2 linked regions of the Rhinolophus ferrumequinum genome follow. The protein of the gene in region 2 interacts with the protein of the main gene of each other region in a pairwise test. Links are inferred from orthologs where the notes say so. Each region holds a gene or a part of one and is shown on either strand. Other genes may lie near its edges.

Evidence for each region. The genes of interacting proteins can lie anywhere in the genome.
Region 1: the proteins of rho GTPase-activating protein 7 (region 2) and RASA1 interact in binary tests that used the Homo sapiens proteins (3 or more experiments, as listed by UniProt). The link is inferred for Rhinolophus ferrumequinum from reciprocal best matches to the Homo sapiens genes DLC1 and RASA1.

The regions. Positions count from the first base shown.
Region 1 is NC_046290.1:56,677,082-56,684,608, reverse strand, and holds the start of RASA1 (ras GTPase-activating protein 1), read right to left. Parts: upstream 3,056-7,527; 5' UTR 2,490-3,055; coding exon 1,972-2,489; intron 1-1,971. UniProt on the Homo sapiens protein: Inhibitory regulator of the Ras-cyclic AMP pathway. Stimulates the GTPase of normal but not oncogenic Ras p21; this stimulation may be further increased in the presence of NCK1.
Region 2 is NC_046287.1:69,504,228-69,511,669, forward strand, and holds the start of rho GTPase-activating protein 7, read right to left. Parts: upstream 3,089-7,442; 5' UTR 2,728-3,088; coding exon 2,514-2,727; intron 1-2,513. UniProt on the Homo sapiens protein: Functions as a GTPase-activating protein for the small GTPases RHOA, RHOB, RHOC and CDC42, terminating their downstream signaling.

The DNA of each region.
Region 1 (7,527 bases), on a different chromosome or scaffold from region 2:
TTATTATCCCCATTTTACAGATGGGGACACTGACCTTTCCAAGATCACACAGCTAGTAAGTGGTAGTCAGGATTCCAACCCAAATCTTGTCTAACTTCAGAATTTGCACGCTTAACCACTACACTGTATTGCCTCCAATGACTCTGGGTTGATATCTAAGATAAAGAAAAGAGGGAAATTTGTACTTCTCAGTGGCAAACTTAAAAAACATACTAGAAATGGAGGATACTTTTTAGAAATAGAACAAATCTCATATACATAGTCACACAAATATTTTTATTCTCAAATACATAATACCAAATGAAAATCTCATACAATGGACTCCTCACAAACACAATTTTCCTACGTTACGTACGTATTTATGTTTATTACAAAAAACTTAATGGGAATGCTCTGTATTTTCTGCTCAATTTTGCTGTGAATCTAAAATTGCTCTACAAATTTTATTTGTAAAAAATTTAAAACTACAATATACTAAATATGCCTAACTCAATTATGAACTGGCATAAGACTATATTCTTTCAGTATGAAAAGTTGCACTTTATTATAACTATAATGCTGAGTATGTAGTGGGTACTTTATGTTTAACTGATTTTTTCAAAAAGGTTTGAAGGTGTGTAAACAGTGTGTAAAATCTGAATTTTTAACACTCTCAGAACACCTTCAGAAAAGTCTGCAATACCTAGACCTGACATGGTAAGTTTGAATACAATTAGATAAAGAAAATTGAACTCGTATTGAACAACATAAAGGAAAACAACACCCCTATACCATGGCTGACATAAGACTAACTTTACTTTTCTACCTAAGTATCAAAAGATGTAAGACAGAATAGGCTTACATCTTAAGACAGAATAGGCTAGTATTACAGAATTTTCCTAATTTGTTTTTAAAGTCCTTTCTAAATATTCCAAAGAAGCTTATCCAAAAAAACTTTTTTAAGTAATACTTTCAAGTGTCCAGAGTAACTGTCAATCAAACCTTTTTTTTCCTCTGATATTCACCAAGGTTGTAGAAATTCTAAAGGTCTATTAGGACAGCTGTGAGAGTTCTATACAAGTTTTGCCTCCTATCACCATCCGAACATCAACATTTTCCTCTCATCAAGGTCCACCTTCATACATAAACACATACCTAAATTCAATTATGAAGATAACAAGAGAGATGTACTAACTTTATACGGAAAAGTCATTTGTTCGATATATTCTGCAGTAGACTGTCAAATTTAGAAATAGAATACTGTATTGGTCACCAATGAAAAGCGTTGAAAGGGAAGCACACTATTAATTTTGTTTTACTTCAATATTGTACTTACAAAGTCTCAACTATAAAAGAATGGCACTAATATTAATACACAGGAATTCAATGGCACAAGTTACAGATACTGTAGGAGTACTGGCCCTTAATCACACCTGTAAGTCATAGAACTTTTCTTTCTCGCTGACACAGGTTTTCATAAGTCATCCAAAAACTTTTGCATCGCTATGCTTTTCAGTAGGCAGAAGTTAGAATTTGCAGTGGAACAAAAACAAAGCATTCTGACCAAGGCATGTTTTAAATGATAATCAGTACAACACTCATTCAAATACTTGTATTCAAAACTTCTAATTAATCATCCAGCTCCAACAGAGAACACACAGGTTAGTACTATATAAGACTACGACTGCCCTGGTAGCTGCCAGCTCAGCTGAATCCCAGGACGCCACCTCAATTGAGAAGGGGTAGAACCACATCCGGTTGTCACCTGATACACATTTCCCTATGCTTCCCATCTTAAAAACTTCACATCTTCCCAGAGGAAGCCAGGGAATGTGCCCGTAGGGAAGATAAGTGATCAAATTAAATCCCTACGCGTAGAACTTGACGCTTCAAAACTTTTCACAACAAATTATAGCTGACAGAACGAGTATGTTTTTCCACTTATTTGCAGGAGCCAACTTTCCCCGTCACTGAACAGCGGTCTTGACTTACTGGTTAGTTGGAGGAGCGGTCAGCGGGATGGCCACCTCTTCCTCCTCGTATTCTGGTCCATCTAGAGAGTCACCTTCGTCCACTGTTCCCAGGCCCGCGCCCAAAGGGGGCAGTTGAGGAGGAGGTGGCAGAGGAGGGAATCCGCCGCCTGCCCCGAAGTTCTCAGCAGGCAATGAAGTGGTCCCTTTGGTGAGAGCCATCTCCCCACCAGGTCCGGCGGCGGCAGCACCAGCCACGCCAGCAGCAGCACCTCCCCCTGACAGTGCGGCTCCCCCCAGTGTCCCTGCCACAGACCCGGCTCCTAGGAACCCTGACCCCAAAGCGGCTCCGCTACCCAGAGTCCCGGCCACTCCGGCCTCCGCCAGCCCAGGATAGGGGGCGGCTGCCACAGGCAGGGCCGGAGGGATCTTCACCCGACACACTGCCGGATAGGCACTCGAGCCCGCGGCCGCGCCGCCTCCTGCTGCCCCGGCGGTCACCGGACCGCCCTCCTCACTGCCGGCCTCGGCCGCCATCATGTTGAAGTCCGCTCTACTCTGCCTTACCCAGCCCGCCCGGGAGCCCCGGGGGCCACCAGGCCCGGGCTCCGAGCCGCCCCACCCAGACGCGTCCCCTCTTCAGCTCCCCAGGCGGAGGAAACAACAACAAAAGGAGAGTCGCCGCCGCGCCCCCTCCTCGGGCCACAGCCCAGGCTCCCGAGCTGCCCGGGTTACGGGAAGCGAAGTGGGCAAAAAACCCAACGCCTGCACAAACGCCGCCCAAACCTTCCCCTATACACCCACACTCACGCACATACATGCACAGAAGCGAAAAACTTCCTGGCTCACTAAAGAGGAAGGGAAGCACAGGGGAAGCGGCTGGGCGGCTGCCGCTCCTTGGGCCACCGCCGCTGCCGCCGCCACCGCTTCACCACCCCAGTTCCGGCCACCCCCACCGCAGCCACCGCTGGTGCCGCTGCTGGGGCTGGGGCCACTGCAGCCGCTTCATCCTCCACCGGCCTGGAGACGGGAGGGGTGGGGAGAAAAGAGGAAGGGGGGCGGGGTGGTGGGGAAGTCGACTGAACAGCTCCCAACCTGGAGCTCTCAGTGAAATAGACGAGAGAGAAAGGAAGGCGGAGCACCGGAGGAGGAGCGGAGGGAAGGAAGGGCGGGGAAGGAGGAGGGAGAGGGCGCTTCTGCACAGGCGCGTTGCGGGAGCGGGTGGGGAATGGGCCTGGAGAAAGGAAAAGGAAGAGTCCGGAGGGAAGGAAGCAGCGGGGACGCGCGATGCGCGGTCGCGCCCGCTGTCCCACTCCGGTTCGAGCGCGTGGCGGCGCGGCCGCTTCTCGCATCGGTGTCGCCAGTGGCGCGCGCCTGTCTCACTGGGCTTTGTTTGATGGGCGGGTGGGGAGGGGAAGGGGAGAGTGGGTATCTAAGCAAGCTGCCGCTCAGCTCCGTGAAAACAGGAGACAGAAGGGTAAGAAGCCTAGAGAGGAAGGACGGGGAAAAGGAACGGAAGATGCTGCAAAGCCAGTTCACAGCTTCCTGACCGGTAGAAAAAACACCATTAGCCGGCGGCGCAAACACCTAACGGCCAAGGACCGGGGTAGGGGTGTTGGGATGGGGGACTTGCAGACTGCCTCGAAGGTTGAGGCAGTACTAATGTTTTCATTTTTGTTGCATAATATAAATCACTATATGACTATTGCAAACTAAAAAAATGAAATAAAGCTCTAGGCTGTGAAACTCAAGAAAACGAAATGGATACGGGGGGAGCGGGGGTGGGGGAGAGAGACTATGGGAAGCGTTAAGAATTTTCGCAGAAATAATGGCTGTGAAGTCAGATTTCTATGACTATACACGTTTTGTTTTCTTCATTGACCTCACCTCCTCTGTTTCTCTCTCTCTCTCTCTCTCTCTCTCTCTCTCTCTCTCTCTCTCTCTCTCTCTCTCTCTCTCACACACACACACACACACCTGTGCCATTGCCAAGTCTATTGGGTACTAATGAGGTGTGGAGAGGAGGGGTGCTACATACCACACCAATCAATACACTTTTGTCCTCTTCTATGTGAAAAAGAAAGCAAGGCATGCTCCATAATTCACATGTAACACACAAGAGGACTTTCAACAAGGCAAATGTCAAGAATATCCGGAAGTGCCCATTCAAAAATTATCAATAAACTGAGATCTCACCCTTAATATAGCCAAAAAGGAGGTGGGTTTTGTTTTGTCTTTTATACTTCTATACATGACTTGTATTCATCTTTTGTTACCGGTATATATTGAGTATTACAATTTTAATACAGTTTCCCTTTCTTAAAATGTGTATATGTTTTTTGGCACCCTCCGTGTATGTATGTGTGTATATATATATATATATATATACACACACACACATAGACACACATACATACATATATATGAATAAATATGTATTTATAAACACATGCATTATCACATACTATTATATGCATTATCGCAAAAAAATGTGTACAAGTGGACTTTGGTCAACATTGCTCAAGCAGTAGTTTGCCGTAATCAGAAGTGTCTGGACACTGATGGTAACCACTTTAATCACCTCTTGTAATTGCAGAAATCAAACGTGATTTGTAGTCATCTTTTATTATCGATATGTATTATTACAATTTTAATACAGTTTTCCTTTCTTAAAATGTGTATACATTTTTTGGCACCTTCTGTATGTGTGTGTGTATATATATATACACACACACACTATATATATACACATATATATGAATAAATAAAACTTATAAACACTATTATATGTATTTATATAGGTGGAGGAATCATTCCCTTAGTTTGAAATTACAGTATAGGTAATTTGCCCTTTTGGATTCATATATCGTTCTTTTAAATTCTCCCAGGAGGAATCCCACATTAAATACCAGTAAACATTGATCTTTGAGATCGATATTTTCTCTAAGGATGATCAAACCAACATAGCACATTGGGGATGGGAAAGGGCTGTTACAGAGGCCCTGGGAAAAAAGGAAAAGACTATTAAAAGAGTTGTAAAGGTGCATGAGAGACAATTTCCTTTACTTTAGCAGTTTGCATAATCTATTTGCCAAATCATTGACAAACTTGATTAAACAGTAGTCCTGAGGACTCCTTCAGTGTGCTTACTTCTTCACAGTATATCACTTGGGAGAATGAAGATGGACTAGTCACAAGAATGGTCTCAGACCACCATTATCCTAGGGCCTTGTTAGAAATGCAAATTCATTGGCCCCATTTTGGACACTCTGAATTAGAAACTGCAGTAATTAATGTTTTAATGAACCTCCAAGTTTACCCATTTAAGAACCACCTTACTATAGTATGCTAATCAGGTAGGAGGTATGCAATACCTAAAAATGGTTCTGAAAGAAAGAGGAATAGGTGAGAAAGCCAACTCAGTATCACTCATTAGGTAGGTGGGTAAGAGATGTACGTATTGGGTTGCTAAACTCTATGTTATTCTAGAAAGGAGATTAGGACGTGAAAAAGTACATAATGAAGTAATTCCATAATACTAAAGAGAATAATGAAGACCTACTTCTTATAGTGGCCAACCTGACGAAATTTTGTATTTTTTTTAAACTTAGATCCTCACAGTTAGAAGAGACCATCAAAATACCTATTCCACCCACTGCCAACAAATTTACATGTAACCTGTGTTTGAAAACTCTGTGTGTTAACATGCCAGTCCTGCATCACATCCATCCCAATTACCACCATCAGCTTTTGAATGTAGGAGGTTGGGCTGGCAGATATCACCAGCTCTTGGTTATCACTGGTCTCTCTTCCCTAAGAGCTCACACACTATCTGTTGCCTGAGATTCCAAGTCAGACTCTCTACTATAAATTGCAAAATTACCTCCTTCCCCTTTTTTGACATTCCTTAGCAATTAAAGGCCAATATGTAATGAAGTCCAACACCAATCAGATACTAAGTTATATAGTTTTTTAGTTACTTTTAGGTGGATGTATCTGCAAAACTATACTGCAAATAGAAACCTGTGGTCTATCCTACTGCCTAGTCCAGTGATAGGCATCCTTGCCAACTGCTTTGAACAGATCTCCATCCTTTTAACAAATACTGGAATAGATCAGTATCTTTGGACAGCAATTGTGCAATTAGTAAGAAAGACTCTATTTTAAATCAAACTAATACCAACATCTTACCTTATATTTAATCTTACAGTTTTGCTGTCCTTTTCATCCAAAAAGATTACCACGTATTTTTGATGAGGTATTTTCAAATATGTTATATATTTCTTTTATTTGACAGATGTAGGCTTTCATCCTTACTCTTCCTTGCGTACTTCCTTAATCTCAAATCAGTCATCTACCTTCAGTGACATTTTATTTTTTCCAGAAGAGTGAAATGTTTCTACATTTATTTTTGTCTATTGCCTTATTTCTTTTTCTTCTCACCTTGACCCTTTGCCCTTCTCTCATTCATGTTCTCTTTTTTCCTGCTAATTTCTACTTCAATTTATGCTTCCGTGTTTTCCTTTTCTTCTAAGCCCCTGAATTTCCTGACATAGATATACTCCTTGAAGTTTCATGAGTCAAAAACTGAAGAAAAATTTTTTAAAAAAACAATGAAATATCTACATGGAGAAAGGCATTACAGGGATTCTGCAGGAATTGATGCTAGGTGTGGTGTTATGTAACACCAACTAACAAAGGGAAGTAAACAGTCTGTTAATTAAATTCACAGATAATATTAAACAGGAGGTACTGAAAAACAGAACAATATCCAAAAGAGGAAAATTCAAATAGCTTTTACCTTTAATAAAGCGATTTTGATATCTATGATTTTAGAAAAGTATCTCTACATATTTAATTAAACATAGTATTTAATGAAGACTAAATGATCAAAAATGCTGAACAAAGACTTGTGGGTGAAAAGAATCTGAACATTTAATTTAAAAAATGAATTTGGCTCATTCTGATTATATTGGCATCCCAAATATGAATGTAATACATTCTGAAATATTTTGCAGTTTTGATACCTCAGTGTGTGAAAGGTAATTCTGAGTCAGTAACAAAATTTTACAGGACCTCAAGAGGGTTAGATCAAATATATGAGTAGCTTCTGAGGGAAAGACTAAGCAAGAAGTGATGAAGAGCTTGCAGCTGTGTTTGAAGAATTGCAAATTATGTTTCATGCCCTAGTACATACTTAGGTATACAAACAGACTTCTAAGTTTTTCTAAATAGTGTCAAAAGGTTTCAGTTACCCTAAAATTTGAAAGGAAACCTTTACTCCTAACCCCTAATATCCCTGGTGCATTTGTTGCCCACATCTTAAAATGCCCAATATTAAAAATTTCCTTATTGAGGATATGTTTTGAGAAAATAACATTGAGGAGGTACGGGTTAAAGGAATATTTTTTATTTATTAAATTTATTTGGGTGACATTGATTAGTAAAATTATATAGGTTTCAAGTGTACATTTCTGTAATACATCATCTGTATATTGCATTGTGTTCACTACGCAGAGTCAGATCTCCTTCCATCACCATATAGTTGATCCCCTTTACCCTCTTCTGTCCTCCCTCC
Region 2 (7,442 bases):
TTGTTTAATTGTAACATGCTTTTCTATTAATCTGGTATCTTTTCCAGAAGCAACCAAGCTTTGCTTGGTCTTTGCTCTTTGAAATGCAATATAGAATGACAACAAAATAATAAACAAAGAAAGGCTTTAGGTTAAAGTGCAATAGAGTCTCTCTTTTTCACTACACAGCTACAGGAAAATCCTTTGCCTGGTCCAGTGTATTAAAACTTGGCACACTGCCTACAATTAGTCACAGTTAACTGCTTAACTGTTCAACCTTTTTACTCTTCCAGGAGTAAGTGGTGTTTCTTATAAGATCTACAATTGGGAATTTAAGACACAATGGTAGTCACCAAAACCACTTTTCCCATTCACTCTAGGGAAAGATTTAAGTTGGGAGATACTTATTCTGATTCTGCGTAGCTGGGAAACCAAGTCAGGCCCCGTTCTTGAGCTTCAGCCTATTTTGTGTCAGGTGTCACTCAGCTTGAATTAAAATAAAATCCGTTTTTGTTAAAAGCAAACTTTTAAAAGCAGCTGCAAGAGAAAGTCAGTCTGCTGTGCTTCATTTTAAACTCTGAACAGTAGTGCTAATGAAAAAAATATGCACCCAGGTTTGGGCCACGCTGTAAATCTGGCATGCCACAATAAAAGTTAATACAAGCAATCGCCAACATTTTCTCAGAAAATGTCTCGAAATAACTTCTGAACGCACATCTGCTAACTATTTGACACTCATTCCCCAGGATTTTAGTTCTTCTATTAGGGGGTCTGTTGACTTACAGGGCACCCCTCTGACCATCTGCTGCAGTCTGGAAGCCAAGATGGCACTGGGTGCCTCCATTAATTCCACACTTATGGTCTGCAAATTATCTCTGCGGAGGACCAGCCTGCAGTCCAGATGGATGCTGAATTAGTCAACCTCTTGGAGCTGCTGATAGATTTACATTCAGAGTTCTGCTGGCCTATTATTTTCTCTCATCCTTTCAGCAAACAGAGTTTGGAAAAAAATGTAATTTGAGACTCAGAATTCTGCTTTTTCCAAAACTGTGATTTTTTTTCCTACCCAAATGCGTCATAGATGCCACCCTCATGAATCTTTCTGTAGCGGATAGCTGTGCCTAGGCTGCATTCCTCCACCTCATCAACAATGGCTGAACCAGCCTTCAAATCCTGAGAATGAACCCATTTGCTAACCATGTTGGATGTAGAAAAACTCACTCAAAACTAGTGTGAGGCAAGGTTTTCTTCTCCCCAGTGCAGACTGACTATATGCAGGGAGTTTCCTTCTACAATAACTAGCATAAATTGGGTATTTGTAAAACATCAGTACCAGACACTGTGCTAAGCACTCGTATTAGCTCATTTGACTCCCACAACCGCTTCGCGCAGTAAACGCAATTACTATCCCCACGTTTCAGACGAAGGAGGTAGGCCCTGTCACTTCCTAGATTCGTCCAACTACTAGGCTGCAGACCCAGGATTCCAGGAGTTAGAGCGGACCCCGCAACCTGCCTCTCCCGGGGTCCCCTCTAACTCCCTTCGAAATATGGGTTATGCGCTGGAAAGACGCGCGTTGACTCGGTCAATTACACGTGGCAGGGCCAGTTTGCTACAGCCGGGGGCGCAACTCCTTCGGTAGGATCAAAGGCTCGGCCCGTGACGTTGGAGGTGGGGACAAGAGCACAGAGTGGGGCAGAGTTCTAAAAGGCCGTCGCCTCACTCCGAAAAAAGTCGGTCCGGCGGCGTGTTTCCTTCCTTTCGCTGGCTCTGGGAGTCGCTCAGCGCCGGCGCCCCCTCGGGAGCCAGGGGCGTGGGCATCTCCACCGGACATTTCAGGAAACCGATTCAGCGCCCCAGAACGTGAAGCCACACCGCAGCCTTTCTCGCAGACCCCCCTCACAAACCATGGGACTAGCCAAATTGCTTCAAAGCTCTCCAGGGGCCGGCAGCCACCAGAGACTTTCCTACGTCTGCCTTATTGTCCAGCGTTTAAAATATTTGAACAAAAACAGTTTAAAATTAAAACAATTTTTTTGGATGAATTTACTTTCCGTTTTAAAAAAACAAAACATTTCCATGTGCCACCACGGTCTAAACGTCCTTAAATTATTAATAAACTTTCAGGGAATCAACGCTGATTTTGAACTTGTACGGTGAAGGACAGCAAGTACCGAGCCCTGAAAGGTCTCCGAAGGAAATATGCTAGAAAGGCTGTCACGCCACGTCCCTGGGAGCCGGAGGCCATCGCCGCCTGGGATTTCCAGCGGGGATAGAAGATGCCTGGCCCTGAGCCCCCTGCCTGACCCTACGCCCCACGCCGGGTCCTGCACCCTTAGCCCGGCCCTACGTCCCAGCCGCAGCGGGAAGTTAACCCGGGCTTAACTTAATCAGTCGCGGTCGCCCCCAGCCCGCAGCCCTTCTTGGAACCCACTGGACGCGCCAGCCCGAGGCCCCCAGGCAATGAGCAGCCAGGGGTCATTACCTGAGATTAAGGACCCCCACCCCAACCCCTCGTTTTTCCCACACTCCACCTCCTCCACTCCAAGAAACTCGGGCGACTCCATCCCAAGCCTCCTCGGAAAGCGTTTCAAAAGCACAGAACGTCAGGCACCGACTTGATAAGGCGGGGTGACATTTCCTCCGCGGTGGGTCCCTTCCGCAGCTGGCTCCCGCGGCTGGCCTAACGGCAAGGCACAAGTCTAGCTTACGTGTTAGGATCATGGTGTCCGGCTTCTTTCTGCACATCAAGTGCGGCTGGGGGTGGCAGGCACGCAGTAGGGAAATCGAGGCAGCCGGAGGCAGCTGGGCTCCTGCGCCAGGACCCACGGCGGCACCCAAGACGCGCGCCCCGGAGGTCCTCAGCGCATCCTTGCTCGCCTCTTGGTGCCACTCGCCACGGCCCCAGAAAGAAACGGGGTTTTCCAGAGGTCGAAAAGGAAGAGCGTTCAAGGAGCGGGGCGAGAAGCCCGGGATCGGTTGCCCCTGCTGCGGAGAAGTTCGGCCATGGCCAGAATGGGAGCGAAGCGCCCTCGCACAGGCGGCTAGAGCGCACTGCCTCCCGCGCGACCTCCCAGCCTCGCCCTCCCGCAGGGCCCACCCCAAGGGGAGGGACGAGGCGGCTCAGCTTTGCCTCCTCACCGCCTCCTGGGTAGCACGCCACCGCCTCCAGCTGTTTTCAGGCCCCGCCCCCTCTCCTGGGCCAGCCCAGCCTCGCGCTCAAGCCCCGCCCACTGCCCCGCCCCTGGTCTCCTTCCCGGGGCTGGGCTCGCCAGTCTCAGCTTCAGCTTCAGGCAATCCTCTGGTCCCGCCCCTCTAGCCCCACCCCGCACCTCCTCTGCAGAGTCTGGAATGTTTTCCTCTGGCCTGCACGTCTGCAGCAGGAAGCGCCTAAAGGTCTCCAACTGTTGGCGTCTGGGGCAAAGGCAAAGGCTGTACCCACGAGGCCTCTACTTGTTGGGGAGCTCTCGGCTGAACACTGGGACACCGCGCCCTTTCCTTGTTTTTCTTGGTAGCTTTCAACACTTAAAAATCTCTGTGATTCTCCCTTTCATCCTGGTAGGAACCGTATAAATTCGCGGGAATCGAGGAGAAGCAGGGAAGTACGGATCAGTCTTTCCTGATGTGTAAAATGCGGAGAAGAGTACCTGTCCCTTGGACATTCAGTATTCATTGCTAAGGCCCGTAGGCGTACAGAACAGAACGAATGCAAGCAATTAACCCTGCTGTAAAGAAGGATGTTTTCACTCAGCACGTGTTGAGTCTACTGTGTGCAATCGCAGCCAGTGTTTCTCAAAGTATGGCCCTTGGGCTACAACCAAACGCAGCTCCTGGAACTGGTAGGATCCGACCCCAGACTGCAGAATTAGAATCTCTGATGGTAATAATTTGCATTTTTATAAGTTCTCAGGTGATTCAGATGCATTATAATTTTACGGCCCCAGACATACTTAGGAAGCCTAATTTTTAAAGATCATAATTGAATACAATCTCTAAGATTTTAAAAAATCCAGACCAGAGTTCCACGAAAATTTACTTTGGGGCTAATTGATGCTTTCTGCCATTACTTCTGGGCAAAGAAAACTACTAATGTAAAACCATTCATTCGACAAATACTATACTGAGAACATTTACTACTATGTGCCCCAAACTGTTTTAGGCTCTGGAGATACAGCAGTGAGCAAAACTGACAGACATCCCATCCCTCCTGGAGTTTACTTCTTAGTGGGGAAGATGCACAATAAAGAAAATAAATAAGTGAAATATATGAAGTGTCTTAGATGGAGCTATATAAAGCAAGGGAGCTGGGGGCAGAGTCTATTTTTAAATGGATTTAAATGCAAATGGAAGCGTTTAGTCTCTCTTAGTTTAAAATGATTGATTTCATAGTCATATATTAGTTTACATACAGAAAATTCTTTTTCCTTCCAAGTTTTCAAAAATGAAATAAAAATACTACCTCTAATCACTGGCTCCCTAATTTAACCCAACCAGAACTGGGCTCTGGGGAGTGGTATTAAAGGAGGGCCTGGGCTCCTCTAGTCAACAGATATTTCCAGGGCTTTTACCGACTGACAACTGCTGGGGACACAAAGGTAAGCAACGGCAGGTCACCTCTGCCTACCCAGAATTAACAGTCTAGTGGGGAGGAAAAAGAGATGCTGTGAGGGCTAGGAAGGGGGGACCTGATAAGGCCCAAGACAAGAAGAGGGAGCTGCCCACTGAAGTTTAGATGCTGGGAGAACTGTCATGATGCCACAATTGCCAGCAAGGGGGACTGTGATTCTAGGGGATCCTGGAAAAGTAAGGACAAGAACTTTTGATTTCCCTGCATGACTGTGTTAAGGATTTTTTAATCCTTAATAAACAGTGAGAAGCCGTTTTAATGGAAGAAGGTATTCTATGATCAAATTTGCATTTTGAAAAGATCATTCAGGCTGCAGGTGTGTATTTCAAACCTGGAAAATAGGAATACACCTCCTAAACATACTAATTTCTTTATTAAAAATGCAAACCTTATATAAAATAATATTAAATGTCAACTATAATTAAAAAAATGTATAATTACGGGATGTAAAGTACAGCATAGAGAATATAGTCAATGGTATTGTAATAGCTATGTATGGGGGTCAGATGGGTAGTAGACTTGTTGGGGTTATCACTTTGTGAGGGGTATAAATGTCTAATCACTATGCTGTTTTGTACACCTGAAACTAATAAAAAATAAATTTTAAAAATGTAAACCTTAAAGATACAAATATTCTAAGCATCTCCTCCAAAGCATATCAATTCTCAGAATACATTCTTAATGCTTATTATTAGCCGGGTGAAGTTGTATTTTAGTTTAATTAGGAGTCTGCCATCCTGATGTACCCACCCCCACTAAGTATTCATCTTTCCCAAATAAAGCCTGCTAACTTTTTGTCTCTTCTCATTCAAGCCCCGTTTCCTTTTCCTTGATTATTGATGTTGTTTTCTCTGGATCTTCTTTAATTTCATTACATCTCCAGGGAGATTCGTGTTATGTGGGTTGCTCACTGTCTAATACTAATAACTCCAAAAACATTTTCCTTGGTGATGCATTGGTTGGCATTTGGCCTTCACCGAATGTCATCATCTTCTTTCATTCTTTGGTTTATTGACATAGTCTGTGTCCTGCACCAAACTCTAATTTTCATAGTTTTAATTCTTACTCTTGTTAGAGATGGACATGGTACACTTTGAAAGCTGCTACACTTGTAGAATAATGGTTGAAAGCAGGATTTTGGGAGCAGGCCATTAATGGCTGTTATGATGAATACTTTATTTGGCCTCTCATATTTCGTCTTTTAAAAAAAGAAAGAGAGCATTTCTCATGGGGTTTTTAATGAGAATTGAGTAAGATAATGCACATATAATGGGCACTAGATAATGTTAGCCATTGTTATTATATATTACTAGCTGAGCACATAAACAAAAACATGCAATTTCTATTTAAATAATTGTCTAGGAAAAGATTGAAACAAAACAAGACCTTAACTGTAATCTTTCTGAATCTGAGGAGCCTTTACAAACTGGGGTAAGGAAGGAGTGGAAAAGTCATTAAGAGTGTCAACAAACAGAGGTGCTTTACCAGATGAAAGAGGGTCTAAGACAGTTCAGTTCTTCCCCTTCATTTAACCTTCAACTCATCACCCAAGGTTTCCTTTGTCCATCATAGGCAGATGACATTAGACTGGGTTTGTTAGCTGATCTGGAGTGAGATTTGGGTATTGAAACACTAGACTCTAAGAGGCTGGGATTAATGCAGCCCATTTCCCTGCCAGCAGTCTGTGGTCCTCTGAAACCCCTTCAATACATGGGAATAAACAACCATTACAAATTACATGAGGCCTTATTGCAGGGGTGTCCAAACTTTTTTCAACGTTTTTCACCAGGGGCCATATGCGGTAAAATACACAAACAGCCGGGCCACTCACTCGAGGTGAAGTACGTATTGCCTCACCTGGTTTATTTAAGTAAACTAAATATATTTTTGGAATTTGCTGCGGGCCAATTAACAATGGATTGCGGACCGCAGTTGGCCCGCAGGCCGCAGTTTGGACACCCCTGCCTTATTGCTACTGTTGTTGTCAATGATTTGTTCTCAATGTCAAGTTAAAAAAGACAAAAGGTTTGACGTGAAGGCTATGCCGTTTGCAGGTAGCCATGCTCTTCTCAGTCTGGGCATCTGCTTCACAGAAGCTATTCACAGGGATATCCATACTCTGTCTATTTGGATGTTTTCACATTCAACTGTCGTATTACAAGGCAAGAAAAATCACATAGCTAACTCTTAAACTGCATTACATAAAGCTGAGTGACTAAGAGGGCTACTCTGGTTCCTACTCTATTTTAATGATTGATATTAGATATCATTGTTATTGTCCTACATAGGACACTCTTTTGTATTTTTTTCACTATACTGTTTTAAAAAAAACAACAACCCCCAAACAGCGCAAAAAAGTGTCTACAGGCAGGTAATACTAGTTAGAAACACAAGCCACAACAGGATGGAGTGAACTAAGGAAGACAGGACCCCTCTAAGAGGGGCCCACTTGATTGTTGGCATATGTTAACACAGCAATCCCACTGCTCAGGGTTTAAAGATTTTTAAAGTATCCCTAGATGTCTATAGTTTTATATCAAATCTCCCAATTTTTAGATGCCGGCAATGGATTTTTTTTTAAAAAAAAATTTAAACCCATTCCAAGTAATTTCAACTTTGGGCTTCATTTAGCCCTGGGGCAACTAATGTAAACCTCTGCTCTAGTGATCTGAGTCAAGCAGTCTCTTTGGAAATTTATTTCTCTCCCATAGGAACTAAAGGATTCCTGCGCTTGGAAAGTGTTGTAATATAATTTGCGTTCAATGGAAAATTATGAAATTCGTGCCTAAAACAATTTTATTTGTAATGTTCGAAGGAAATATGACACATAATAGAA